3 linked regions of the Sus scrofa genome follow. The protein of the gene in region 2 purifies or fractionates together with the protein of the main gene of each other region. This does not show direct contact. Links are inferred from orthologs where the notes say so. Each region holds a gene or a part of one and is shown on either strand. Other genes may lie near its edges. The genes, in order: RPP40, RPP14 and POP5.

What was found.
Region 1: the proteins of RPP14 (region 2) and RPP40 purify together in Homo sapiens (co-immunoprecipitation; 3 studies listed by BioGRID and IntAct, with this or other methods). This does not show direct contact. The link is inferred for Sus scrofa from reciprocal best matches to the Homo sapiens genes RPP14 and RPP40.
Region 3: the proteins of RPP14 (region 2) and POP5 purify together in Homo sapiens (co-immunoprecipitation; 3 studies listed by BioGRID and IntAct, with this or other methods). This does not show direct contact. The link is inferred for Sus scrofa from reciprocal best matches to the Homo sapiens genes RPP14 and POP5.

What each region holds. Positions count from the first base shown.
Region 1 is NC_010449.5:2,992,516-2,995,359, forward strand, and holds part of RPP40 (ribonuclease P protein subunit p40), read right to left. Parts: intron 804-2,844; coding exon 605-803; 3' UTR 1-604. UniProt on the Homo sapiens protein: Component of ribonuclease P, a ribonucleoprotein complex that generates mature tRNA molecules by cleaving their 5'-ends. Also a component of the MRP ribonuclease complex, which cleaves pre-rRNA sequences.
Region 2 is NC_010455.5:40,060,688-40,064,978, reverse strand, and holds the start of RPP14 (ribonuclease P protein subunit p14), read right to left. Parts: upstream 2,802-4,291; 5' UTR 2,533-2,801; intron 2,522-2,532; exon of another isoform or gene 2,341-2,521; intron 1-2,340. UniProt on the Homo sapiens protein: Component of ribonuclease P, a ribonucleoprotein complex that generates mature tRNA molecules by cleaving their 5'-ends.
Region 3 is NC_010456.5:40,523,038-40,527,470, forward strand, and holds the start of POP5 (ribonuclease P/MRP protein subunit POP5), read right to left. Parts: upstream 2,898-4,433; 5' UTR 2,786-2,897; coding exon 2,766-2,785; intron 2,693-2,765; coding exon 2,550-2,692; intron 1,149-2,549; coding exon 999-1,148; intron 816-998; coding exon 732-815; intron 630-731; coding exon 514-629; 3' UTR 1-513. UniProt on the Homo sapiens protein: Component of ribonuclease P, a protein complex that generates mature tRNA molecules by cleaving their 5'-ends. Also a component of the MRP ribonuclease complex, which cleaves pre-rRNA sequences.

The sequences.
Region 1 (2,844 bases), on a different chromosome or scaffold from region 2:
CGTGCTGGAAGTGAGCCATGCTGCTGGGGAAGAAATTCTTTCAACTTGTTCCTTAATATACGCAGATTCCAAATCTCTCTCCTGACCCAGAATAAGGAGAGCGAGAACGCACACTCAGGAACCAGCTGGCCTGGGACTGATCTCAGACCCACGAGCAAGGGTGGCCTCGGGAAGCTTACACCCTCTGCGCTTGTTCCCTCTGATGTGAGAATTAAACAGGGTCAAAGAGGAACAGCACTTACAGCAGGAACAGGCTCTGGCAAGCAGGACGGAAGAATTTCTTTGTATTATTATGCAAAGAGGTTACAAGCAGGAGCCCGAGTCCCGCTTACCCAATGGTCCCGTGAAACCTGACCCCTGGTCATCCTGGCACCAGGCAGTAACCCTACGTGGGCTCCTACCAAAGGGACAAATCAGCCACGAACTCCCACTGGACGGCAGGCCCGGCTGCAGCCGCAGGATGGGCCCGAGTCTGGAGCAGGTGCTAAGAGAGGCTCGTCTGAGAAATGTCACCACCATCAAGTCTGAGTGAACACACGGTCCTTTTACCATCAAGCAGCATGACAACGCACATGAACAAACAGGACCTTAAATTCTGCGCTTTCTACGGGGGACAGTCATCATCTGCTCCCACAGCCATGTGAAGCCAATAGTCCCGATTGTTAAAAATCACGAAGTTGTACAAGTGCTCTCCTCCTCTGCGAAACCCGTGCTCGTTTTCTCTCCAGGAAACAGGGCTGTCGGCAAAGCCTTGAACCGCCAGTGTCACCCACGGAGCCAACTTTGGTTCATCAAAGTAGCGACTGAAAAAGACAGATAATTCTTAACAAACAGGGAGAATTTATATATTTACGTATTTATTTTTTGCTTTCCAGGGTTGCACCCTTGGCACATAGAAGTTCCCGGGCTAGGGGTCCAATCGGAGCTAAACTGCATCACAGCCACAGCAACGCGGGATCTGAGCCACGTCTTCGACCTACACCACAGCTCAGGGCAACGGTGGATCCTTAACCCACTGAGCAAGGCCAGGGATCGAGCCTGAGTCCTCATGGATGCTAGTCGGGGCTCATTTCCGCTGAGCCACAATGGGAACTCCCCTTATTTCTTACTTATTCAGTACAAGTGGTATTTTTTGATGTTCCCAGGAAGCTCAGACTTCAGGGTTTTTTTGTTTGTTTGTTTTTGCTGCACCCAGGGCATGTAGAGGTGACTTGGGGGCCTGGGACAGAATCCGAGCCACAGCAGTGCCAAGCCCTCAACCCACTGCTCCACAGTGGGAACTCTGACCTTAGCTTTTGTTTATAAAAATGAGGCGATGCAAATTAGATTCCTGGTGCTACACTATGAATTCAACAAGGGTTCATCCCCCACACGCAGCACACCGAACAGAGGTCAGCTGTCCCACCCTCCCTGTGGACGATCGCACGAGATTCGAAGAATAAAAAATCCCGCAGATGGGGTAAGAATCGCCTCCCTCCCTTCAGCAGCGCTGCTTTCGGAGTCCCCATAAACCAAGACACTGCAGAATAATTACTGAATTTCTTACTGAAAACACATCACATTTTAAAAACTTCAACCTTCTCATTGAGGAAAATCAAATTATGAAGCCAATGATTGTGAAAAAGGAGGCTGCGTTTGCGAAGGAAAACCCCCAACCCTTAAGTCTCAGGCATTTTTCGCGTGAAGACCGAGGGGCGCCAAGCTTGCCTGAGAGTCTTCGACTCGGGACTCGAGTTTGCGGACGTTTCCTTTGTGTAGCGCCGCCCAGAACGGACAACCCAACACTATAAAAACCTTGGTGTGTCCCTGACGCCCTGCGATTCACGGTGTTAGAGCTGGAGCGGACCTTGGGTGTGATGGGGACACGGGGGGCAGCTCCCTTCGCGCCCCTGTTGCCAAATGCAACATTTCGCGGCTCTCCAGGACTTAAAGAGACCACAGTGTGTTCTGTAGAGAAGGGACTTTTTTTTCTTTTTGGAGCCACTATTTTTTTTTTTTCTTTTTGGGGCCACACCTGCAGCATATGGACGTTCCCAGGGGTTGAATCAAAGCTGTAGCTGCCGGCCTACAACGCAGCTCACAGCAATGCTGGATCCCCATCTGACTGAGCGAGGCCAGGATCGAACCTGTGTCCTCAAGGCTACTAGGTGGATGCATTTCCGCGGCACCACAACCAGAATCCCCACCGCTGTCTTCTTCCATGATGTTATAAGTCAACTACACTCACACGGGGGGTGGGGGGTGGGCGTGCAGAGCAGGAAAAATGAGCACTTTGTGCTCAACCAGCACAGGGAAGTTCTGCTCTTTTCTAAGTATAGCTGATTTATAATGGGTTATTGTCAGGTTTACAACAAAGGTTGTTATTTTTTGGCTTTTTGCCATTTCTTGAGCTGCTCCCACGGCACATGGAGGTTCCCAGCCTAGGGGTCTAATGGAGCTGCAGCCACCGGCCTCTGCCAGAGCCACAGCAACACAGGATCTGAGCCGCACCTGCGACCTACACCACAGCTCACGGCAACGCCAAATCCTTAACCCACTGAGCAAGGCCAAGGATCGAACCCGCAACCTCATGGTTCCTAGTTGGATTCGTTAACCACTGAGCCATGACAGGAACTCCAGGATTCTTTAATATATACGTATCCTTATTCAGATTCCTCTGCAGTCTAGCTTATTACAGGTTATTGCATACAGTTCCTATGCTATAAGGTAGGTCCTTGTTGTTTCTCTATTTGTTTACTGGGCCACATGCACGGCATACAGAAGTTCCAGGGGCCAGGGATCAAACTCGAGCCACAGCAGCGACACCACATCCTTAACCCACTGAGCTGCCAGGGAACTCCTGTC
Region 2 (4,291 bases):
GCAAAGGTCTTAAAGGAATTCCTGGAATGGGCACTCAAGCCATTCCCAATAGATCTGGAACTTGGAAGAGCTCAGTACATGCTGTTCCCCCTGAAGAGAACCCCTATCCTGGGTTCCTCACCCACCTCACTCCACTCTGGATAGCTCCTACTCATCCTTCAAATTCCAGCTTAAAGTTCACCTCTTCTAGGAACATCACTTCTTCGGAGAGCCCTTCTCTGACACCTTGCTGTAAGTTAGGCTCCCTTGGTATGTCATCTCTTAACATTGTCTTTGTTTAATATGTGGTTCCCCCAACTAAAGGGACAGGAAATTGAAGCCTATCCAAGGAAAGGAACTTTTCCAAGGTCACATAGCTGTAGACCAGCATTCACAAAAACCTCTCCGGTCCCAGTTCCAACCACTCCCAGAAGACAACCTCAAGAGAAAATGAGAAGTCAAGGTCAAAGCCACTACATCCAACCACCTATTCAACAAATATGAGTATTTCCTGAGTCTGGCACAGAGTATTCAACAAACACTTATTGAATACATGACTGATTAAATGGTGGTAGCATTCAAGGGTGTCTCATTTCTCTTTTCTTTTTCCATCGCGCCCACAGCACATGTAGTTCCTGGGCCAGGGATCAAATCTGAGATGCAGCTACAGCAATGCTGGATCCTTGACCTACTTTGCCACAGTGGGAACTCTTGTTTCAGGACTGCAGTAGTTCACGGTGCTCCCTTCTCAATCACTACAATCTCCCCTGACTGGAAGGGCAGGGAGGACAGTATCCTCAATCATTTCATTCATTGCCTGGCACACAATAGGTGTTTATTAAACATTACTGATTGCCTTAGTGGAGGTGGCTGCCTGAGGTAGAGTGAGATTGGGCCTGGGGCTTAGGATGCCAATAACAAAGAAGACTTAAGGAGTATTCTGGAAATGGATAGTGGTTATAGTTGTACAACTATGTGACTATACTTCTTGCCAATGAAGTGTATATTTAGAAATAGTAAATTTTTCATTATGTTTATTTTATATTAAAAAAAAAACTGTAGGAGCAAGTGTTTATTGAGCAGTCACCTCTGACAGGCCTGGGTCTCAGAGTGACAGCACCGCCCTCTGCAGGTTGTCCTGAAACTAAAGGAGATGATGCCTGGGAAGCCCTCCCTACAGCCCAGTATATTCATTCACCAGGCTCACTGGGAAAATGTGAACACTTCTAAGTGGCTGTCATTATCATCATCTCTGAAGCCGGCCTTTTTGATGGCTGCAAGGATGCTCATTACCTTATCTATTAGCAGTAGATGTCCCTGCTTCCCTCCCTAATCTAACCGGGTGACCCTATTAAAACCTTAATAAGCCCCTTTCCTCAAGGCTTGAAGCCTTGAGTAAAGCCAAAGTCTTTACATCTAAGGTCCAACCTGATCTGTACCATTGCTTCCTCCCATCCCTCTGACCTCCTGTCCTACCACTCTCCTCTGCTCAGTCTCTTCTACCACACAGGCCTCCTAGCTCTTTCCCTCCCAGCTTTTCCATTCGCTGAAAATACTCTTCCTCCAGACAGCCACATGGTTCATTCCCTTGCCTCCTCCATAGCTTTACTCAATTTCACCCCTCAATGTGTTCCAGTGGCATTTCTATCTAATGTCACCCCCCCACGCCACTGCTCTATTTTTTCCTCAGAGCATACACCACTCTGTAGGTATACAGAACATAACTATGAAATCCACTTATTTTTTGGAGGGGTGGGGTGCGTTGGCGGCGAGGGGTTAGTTCTGGGGTCGAACCACCCCATAGCAGTGACAACACCAGATCCTTAACCCGCTGAGCCACCAGGAAACTCTGAAATTCTTTAATTCTCGTCTGCACTCCGCCCTGCTCCTCCCCCCTCCCACCCCGGCCTTACCAGAATGTACAATCCAAAGAGAAACAGGCATCTTTCCCTTGTTTTCTGCTGTTTCCCAGGAGGCTAAAACAGTGCATCACATACAGTAGGCACTCAGTATGTAATTACAGGACATAAACGATATAAAAATTTTAAAAAGCTCGGTCCTCTACTGTTTGGAGATTAAATTGTTAAGCTATCAGCCACTTAGGCTGGTGTTTTGTTTTATTTTGCTTTTTAGAGTTGCACCTAAAGCATATGGAGGTTCCAGGTTAGGGATCGAATGGAAGCTAGGGCTGCCAGCCTTACACCACAGCCACAGGAACGCAGTATCCTTAACCCACTCACTGAGCGAGGCCAGGGACCGAACCAGCAACATAATGGTTACTAGTCGGATTCGTTTCCACGCTGCCACAACAGTGGAACTCGACACCTGAACTGTTTTAAACAATAAGTAAAGCAGGCTAACTTTTTTCGATGACCGTCGGCGTCGACTGGGCGCCCACCTGGGGCCGAGTGCATGCCCCCTGCACATGTGGTCCCGTTCAGTCCTCCCGCCGCCCTCTGCAAAAAAGACCACGTTGTACAAAAGCCCAAGGAGATTCTCAGCACCGCCTCGCCTTCGGCCTGGGGCGCTGAGCGACCTGAGCTGTATAGGTACCTCAGGCGTCTCCGCGCTGCCTGCCGTCGCTCCCGCCTTGCGCGTGCCTTCCTGGCGCGCGCATCCACGCGTCACTAGCGCGGCCAACTAAGTCCACTGCCGGAAAACAGCCACGCTACTACGTACTTCCGTCTACCTGCTCTCCGAGAGATTAGCCTGACTCCTATTCACTGCAAGAATCCCTCAAGGCTTGGAACCTCTCGGCAAAGGCTGGAGCCTAAGCACGAACTAGAAAACTCCGGGGTCTTTACGTTTGGCTTCTGTCTGCCCCGACCCCGGATGCGTGACGGCTCGGGCGGATATGACGTCACAGCGCGGCGTTTTCCCGAAGGACCCGGGCGTGACTCGGGATCTGAAGCTCGCCAGGCTTAGCGCCCTCTCGTGCCCACTCAGCCTCTGGTGCGGCAAGCCGTGTGTGACTGAGGGCGTATTCAGACTGAGAGCTTTTTTCTTAGTCATTCATTTACTCAGGTATTCATTCGTTCAGAAAAATTGTATCTAGCATTTCTTCTGCTGAGCATCTCCTATGTAAAGTATTCCCCAAGGGCAAGACCCGTTCTCAGTGTCTCTTTTGGCTCATAGCACATAGTTTTTCTGTCTGGATTGACATGAAAAGTCCCAGATAGCCCTATTTCCAAATCTAAGACAATAGTTTCATTTATTCGTTTATTAAATAAGTACTTACTGAGCCCGTATTATGTGCTAGATGTTGGAAACAAAAGATAGGGCACTTGTATTCATGAAATAAACAAAACCCCATACAGTGTGGATTAATAATAATAGTAGTATTAATAGCTAATATTAATCAAATGCTTACGTATGCCAGGCACTATTAGCCTTTCAAGCGGCAAGCAGTCGAACTTAGGTTCGGTGGTAACAGCCTCCTCCAGTTAGACATGTGTCTGTGTCTAGGTATGCACATACATACATAGACACATAAGTATAATGTCTAGATGGGTCCCAAGGGGACTGATGGAGGAAGGATTGGGCTGTGTGGAGGGTGTAAGAGATCCTCACATTGTTTCAGCATTCGTTTTTGTTTGATTTCTTTTAAAGTGATAGGGCATCATTTTTATAATACTGATAGTAAGTAAAATTTAGGCTCCCAAGAGGGAGTCTTGGACCATACCCTTCTGCATGCCTCTCCTTTCACATGGAAGAATAGACTTCCTTAAGATGTCACCTCCCACCCCCATCTGCCAAGGTTGGAGAGAGGAGGTAGAAAATGCAGACTCAGGAGTTCCCGTCGTGGCGCAGTGGTTAACGAATCCTACTAGGAACGATGAGGTTGCGGGTTCGGTCCCTGCCCTTGCTCAGTGGGTTAAGGATCCGGCGTTGCCGTGAGCTGTGGTGTAGGTTGCAGACACGGCTCGGATCCCGCCTTGCTGTGGCTCTGGCGTAGGCCGGTGGCTACAGCTCCGATTCAACCCCTAGCCTGGGAACCTCCATATGCCGCAGGAGCGGCCCAAGAAATAGCAACAACAACAACAACAAAAGACAAAAAGACAAAAAAAAAAAAAAAAAAAAGAAAATGCAGACTCACTGTCCCTTATCTGCAATTCTAAAATCGAAGAAAAATCTGAAGACTAAATCTTTCTTCATTAGGTGCAATGCTTAATCTGAACCTAGGTGAAACATTTTGTAGCTTCTGTCCCATTTGCTGTGGATATGCACATTGTATACATCAGAAATATGGATACATTTGCTCATGTAAAGCAGCCCCAGGCCCCACAGGGGTGGGGGCGGGGGGTTATACAAC
Region 3 (4,433 bases), on a different chromosome or scaffold from region 2:
ACAGGAACTTCACCACCTGCAGAACTACTTAACCAGGTAATGCTGGGTAAAGGTGACTTTGGCAAGTTTTATTTTATTTATTTATTTATTTATTTTTTTGTCTTGTTGTTGTTGCTATTTCTTGGGCCGCTCCCGCGGCATATGGAGGTTCCCAGGCTAGGGGTCGAATCGGAGCTGTAGCCACCGGCCTACGCCAGAGCCACAGCAACAAGGGATCCGAGCCGAGTCTGCGACCTACACCACAGCTCACGGCAACGCCGGATCGTTAACCCACTGAGCAAGGGCAGGGACCGAACCCGCAACCTCATGGTTCCTAGTCGGATTCGTTAACCACTGCGCCACGACGGGAACTCCGGCAAGTTTTAAACAATAAGTCAATTCATTTTGAGCTGGTAACTGGCCACTGATCAGCAGTCATCCAGTTTGAGAACTGTAGAAGGTGCTAGTGCCTCCCAGAATTCCCTGTCCAACAAGTAGGCCCTGAAGCTTAGGCGCAACGCAGCCTGCAAAAGTTCACTCCATTGTCTCAGCAGCCTCCTCACCGCCACTATCTGAAAGCTCCTCCCCAGTGGACTCCTCTTCTAGTAAACAGCTTCTTGTAACAGACTTCTGGATAGCTTCCCGCTCTCCTGGAGAAAGAGCATGGATTATTAAAGTCTCTGGAAGTGACCTCTCATTCAGCTGGAGGAGGTCAGTCACTGCTCAGTGGGCACGGGGCTAGCAGGGCTTACCTTCATCAGTGCAGTTCTGCAACAAAATCAACAGCTGTCTCCTATTGTACTGAATGAGGAACTTCTGACATGTTCTAATTGTACCTGACACAAGAAAGAGCTTTGCAGTCAACAGCTCGCAAAAGGTGTTTGCCTCAGAGTCTTGCAGAGCTAGGAAAAATTATCTTGCTCTTGGCAAGGTAGCAGGAGGACCCACCCACTATTGAAGACTGAACTCTGAACCTGTTTCCTATTGAAAATCAGCAGCCATAACACATGCACCCCTACCTCCCACGTGTAAGGTGTTAAAAAAACACGGATAACGGTGTCCTTTGTTCTCCAAGTATGTGATGAAGGGAAGAGCTGACCACACGAGCCGATAGAATTCCTTCCGGCATCGAAGTAGCACTATTCCGGTATAGGCATTGAGGTATCGCACTGCAGCAGGAAAAAAATCATTTTGGGAAAATGGATTCTCAGGAGCACGTTTAAAATCTTAGGGTAGAAGTTCCTGTCATGGCGTAGCGGAAACAAATCTGACTAGGAACCATGAGGTTGCTGGTTCGATCCCTGGCCTTGCTCAGTGGGTTAAGGAACTGGCGTTGCCATGAGCTATGGTGTAGACTGTGGCTGTGGTGTAAGCTGGCAGCTGTAGCTTCGATTCGACCCCTAGCCTGGGAACCTCCACATGCTGTGGGTGCAGCCCTAAAAAAAGCAAAAAAAAAAAAAAATCTTCAGGTAACTGAGAGCCTATGTACCAGAAAACATTCAAGGCGGTGGCACTTGGGATGCCATCAATGAGTAAAAACTGATTTCTGAAGGAAAATAATGGGAGATAAATAACATCTAGGGCCTTTACATACCACTCAGAATTGGTGAATGAATTTAGAATTTAATTTTTTGCTTTTTAGGGCCACACCCATGGCATATGGAAGTTCCAAGGCTAGAGGTTGAATCAGCTAAAGCTGCAGGCCTATGTCACAGCTACAGCAACTCGGGATCGAAGCTGCCTCTGCCACCTACACAGCTCAGGGCAACCTTGAGTCCTTAACCCACTGAGAGAGGCCAGAGGTCTAATATGCATCCTCCTGTATCCTAGTCAGGTTCCTTAACTGCTGAGCCACAAAGGGAACTCCTAAAATGCACTTTTAATTCACAAACTAGTTAACCCAAGGAGGGGGGTGGCAGAAATCCATACTCTTCAGAAGGATGTTTTCCCTTAGCTGAAAAACAAGTTCTGCAACTGGGCTATGTAGGTTCTTCCAGCAACCGAGTCTCACCTTGGTAGAAGGGTTGCCTCTAGGTACATTACCTTCTCCAGATTTCAATTTCAAGCATATGGTAAAAAACGGAATGAATTTACATAGTGTGGTTGTGGAGGAGGGTCCTCTCTTGCATTTACACATACACACAACTGTGTATTCTGTACTTCACAGGCCCCTATGCAGGGCTTTTCAGGGGTAATTCTGACAATGCTTTTTTCATATGATGTCAAAGTAACCCGTCAAATAACTTACTCGGAACTATACAAGTCTTTCCTCATTTAGTTTTCATCATCCTATTAAACTCAATCAAAAACCACACGTCAAATAGTATAGGGGTTTCTGCCGACTGGTATTTTCTGCCCACTGCCTACTGGTATTAGCTCTCCGCTTAAGTTTGGACTCAAGCAGACCTCAGGCTCGGGTTCTGAAACTCCTAAAAAGGACGACACCCTACATAAAATGGTGCACAGGGCTTGGCAGCTTCCAAGGTCGCCCGTGCCCCTTCTTTCTCCCTCCAATGGCCACTGCTCCCTCCAGATCCCGCCATCCTCCTGGTTCCCCAACACCCTCGCACCCGCGAAGCCGATGGAGGAGGCGGCCGCGCCGAAAGTTCCGTGCACGCGCGCGATCGTGTCCCGTACTAGGCCGCCCAGCACTCGGTCCTCCAGATTCAGACGGCAGCGGGGGTCCTCAGACACCACTTCGCAAAGCAGGTACCTGGGGCAGGCGAGAGGGCGGTGAGTGCTGGGCCGGGGCCAGGACCGCAGGGACAGGAATAAGGGTTGCTTACCTGTGCTTGAAGCGCACCATGTTCGTATCCGCCTCGGGCGTCCAGACACTCAAACCGGATGTCTGCCTTCTCGTCGGCGGCCAATGGGAAGTTGGCCTGGCAGCCACTCAGAGAGGGAGGCGGAACTAGAATGTAGGCGGAGCCCCGTGTCAGTCTCCTTTGAGCTCCGCCTCCCTCTGCCGAGCGCAGGCGTCCTGCTCATTTCTTCGCTTAGACTTTCAACTGAACCCGTTGTGATGAGTGGTTGTGCTCCACGCCAGAGTTTGCTGTTTAGGATGCAGCTGAGGCATTTGGAACCTCCAGGACGTTCCATTACCTTGCAACATAGTACCCAAGCTGGACGGTGGAACATTTGAGCACAAGACCTTGCACCCCCCAGGCCAGGGATTGATAGGGGAAATCGGACTCTTATTCTCAGTTTGGAGCTCGGTTTAATTTCTCCATACAGCCAAATATGTTATTACTGTTTAGGCCTTTCAATAACCTTATGGAGTTGGGTGTATTGGCTTGTTTTTTTTTGTTTGTTTTTTTGTTTTTTTGCAAAAACAATCCGTGGTCGTTATATTTTCTGGTTATTTTGGTTTGTTTTTTGTTTTTGTTTTTAAACAGAAAAGCACAAAGAAGCAAATAAAAATAAGTTATAATCCCAGCACCTAGAGAGAATAATTTATCATGTAGTGGATTTTCTTCCAACATTTTACCCCTGTTCCAGTGGTTTTCCAGGTGAAGTCCAGGAACCACTGGATTTTCCCAGATTCTTTTAGGGAGTCCCCCGAGGTCAAATTACTTTTGTAGTAACACTAAGGTGTTACTTGCTGTTTTCACTTTCTGAGTGGACAGTAAAGTTTTCCAGAGGCCAGTGACATGTGCTGACATTGCTCTGATGGCTAAGAGAATTGTGCATGGTGTTTTAAACATTTCTGTTTTAATAAACATAGTGAGTATCAATATATTTCACATAACAAAAGCTCTTTGGGATCCTCAATAATTTAGTAAGAATGGAAAGGGGCCCTGAGACAAAAAAGGTACGAGATGTACCTTCCACTGTATGATAATTTATATTTTCCATTTTCTTTTTAAGAATAGGATCATACTGTTTACTACTCTTCTTTCCCCTCACATTGAATATCTTTTTAAAAACTGAGGCATAACATACATAAAATGCATATTAAGTGCATAACTCAATGAATTTTTATATATGTATAAACTTTTGCAACCACTGCCCAGATTAAGAGATAGAACATTTCCAACACTCAGGAAGGTTCCTGTGCTCTCTTCCGAGCCAAAAACCTTCCCAGAAGTAGCCTATATTCTGACTTCTGTCATGACAGATTAGCTTTTTCTCTTCTGGAACTTTATATAAATGTAAATCTCCAGCAGCATATTTGTGTGTGTGTGCGTGCATGTCTGGCTCCTTTCTTTCAACATAATGTCTGTAAGATTCATTCTTGTCATTTGACTATATTTTCATGCCAGCTGTTCTACAAAGTTATTTTTCAGTTGCCCCAGACTGCATTGTTTGGATGTACCACTGCTGATCTAGTCAATATTTCCATGATGGATATTTAAATTAATTCCAGATTTTCTTGTTATAGCCAGTACTTAGTTGTCCAGCCTTGTAACTAGCTCTTTATACACATCCCTGGCTATTTGTGTCATTGTCATCGA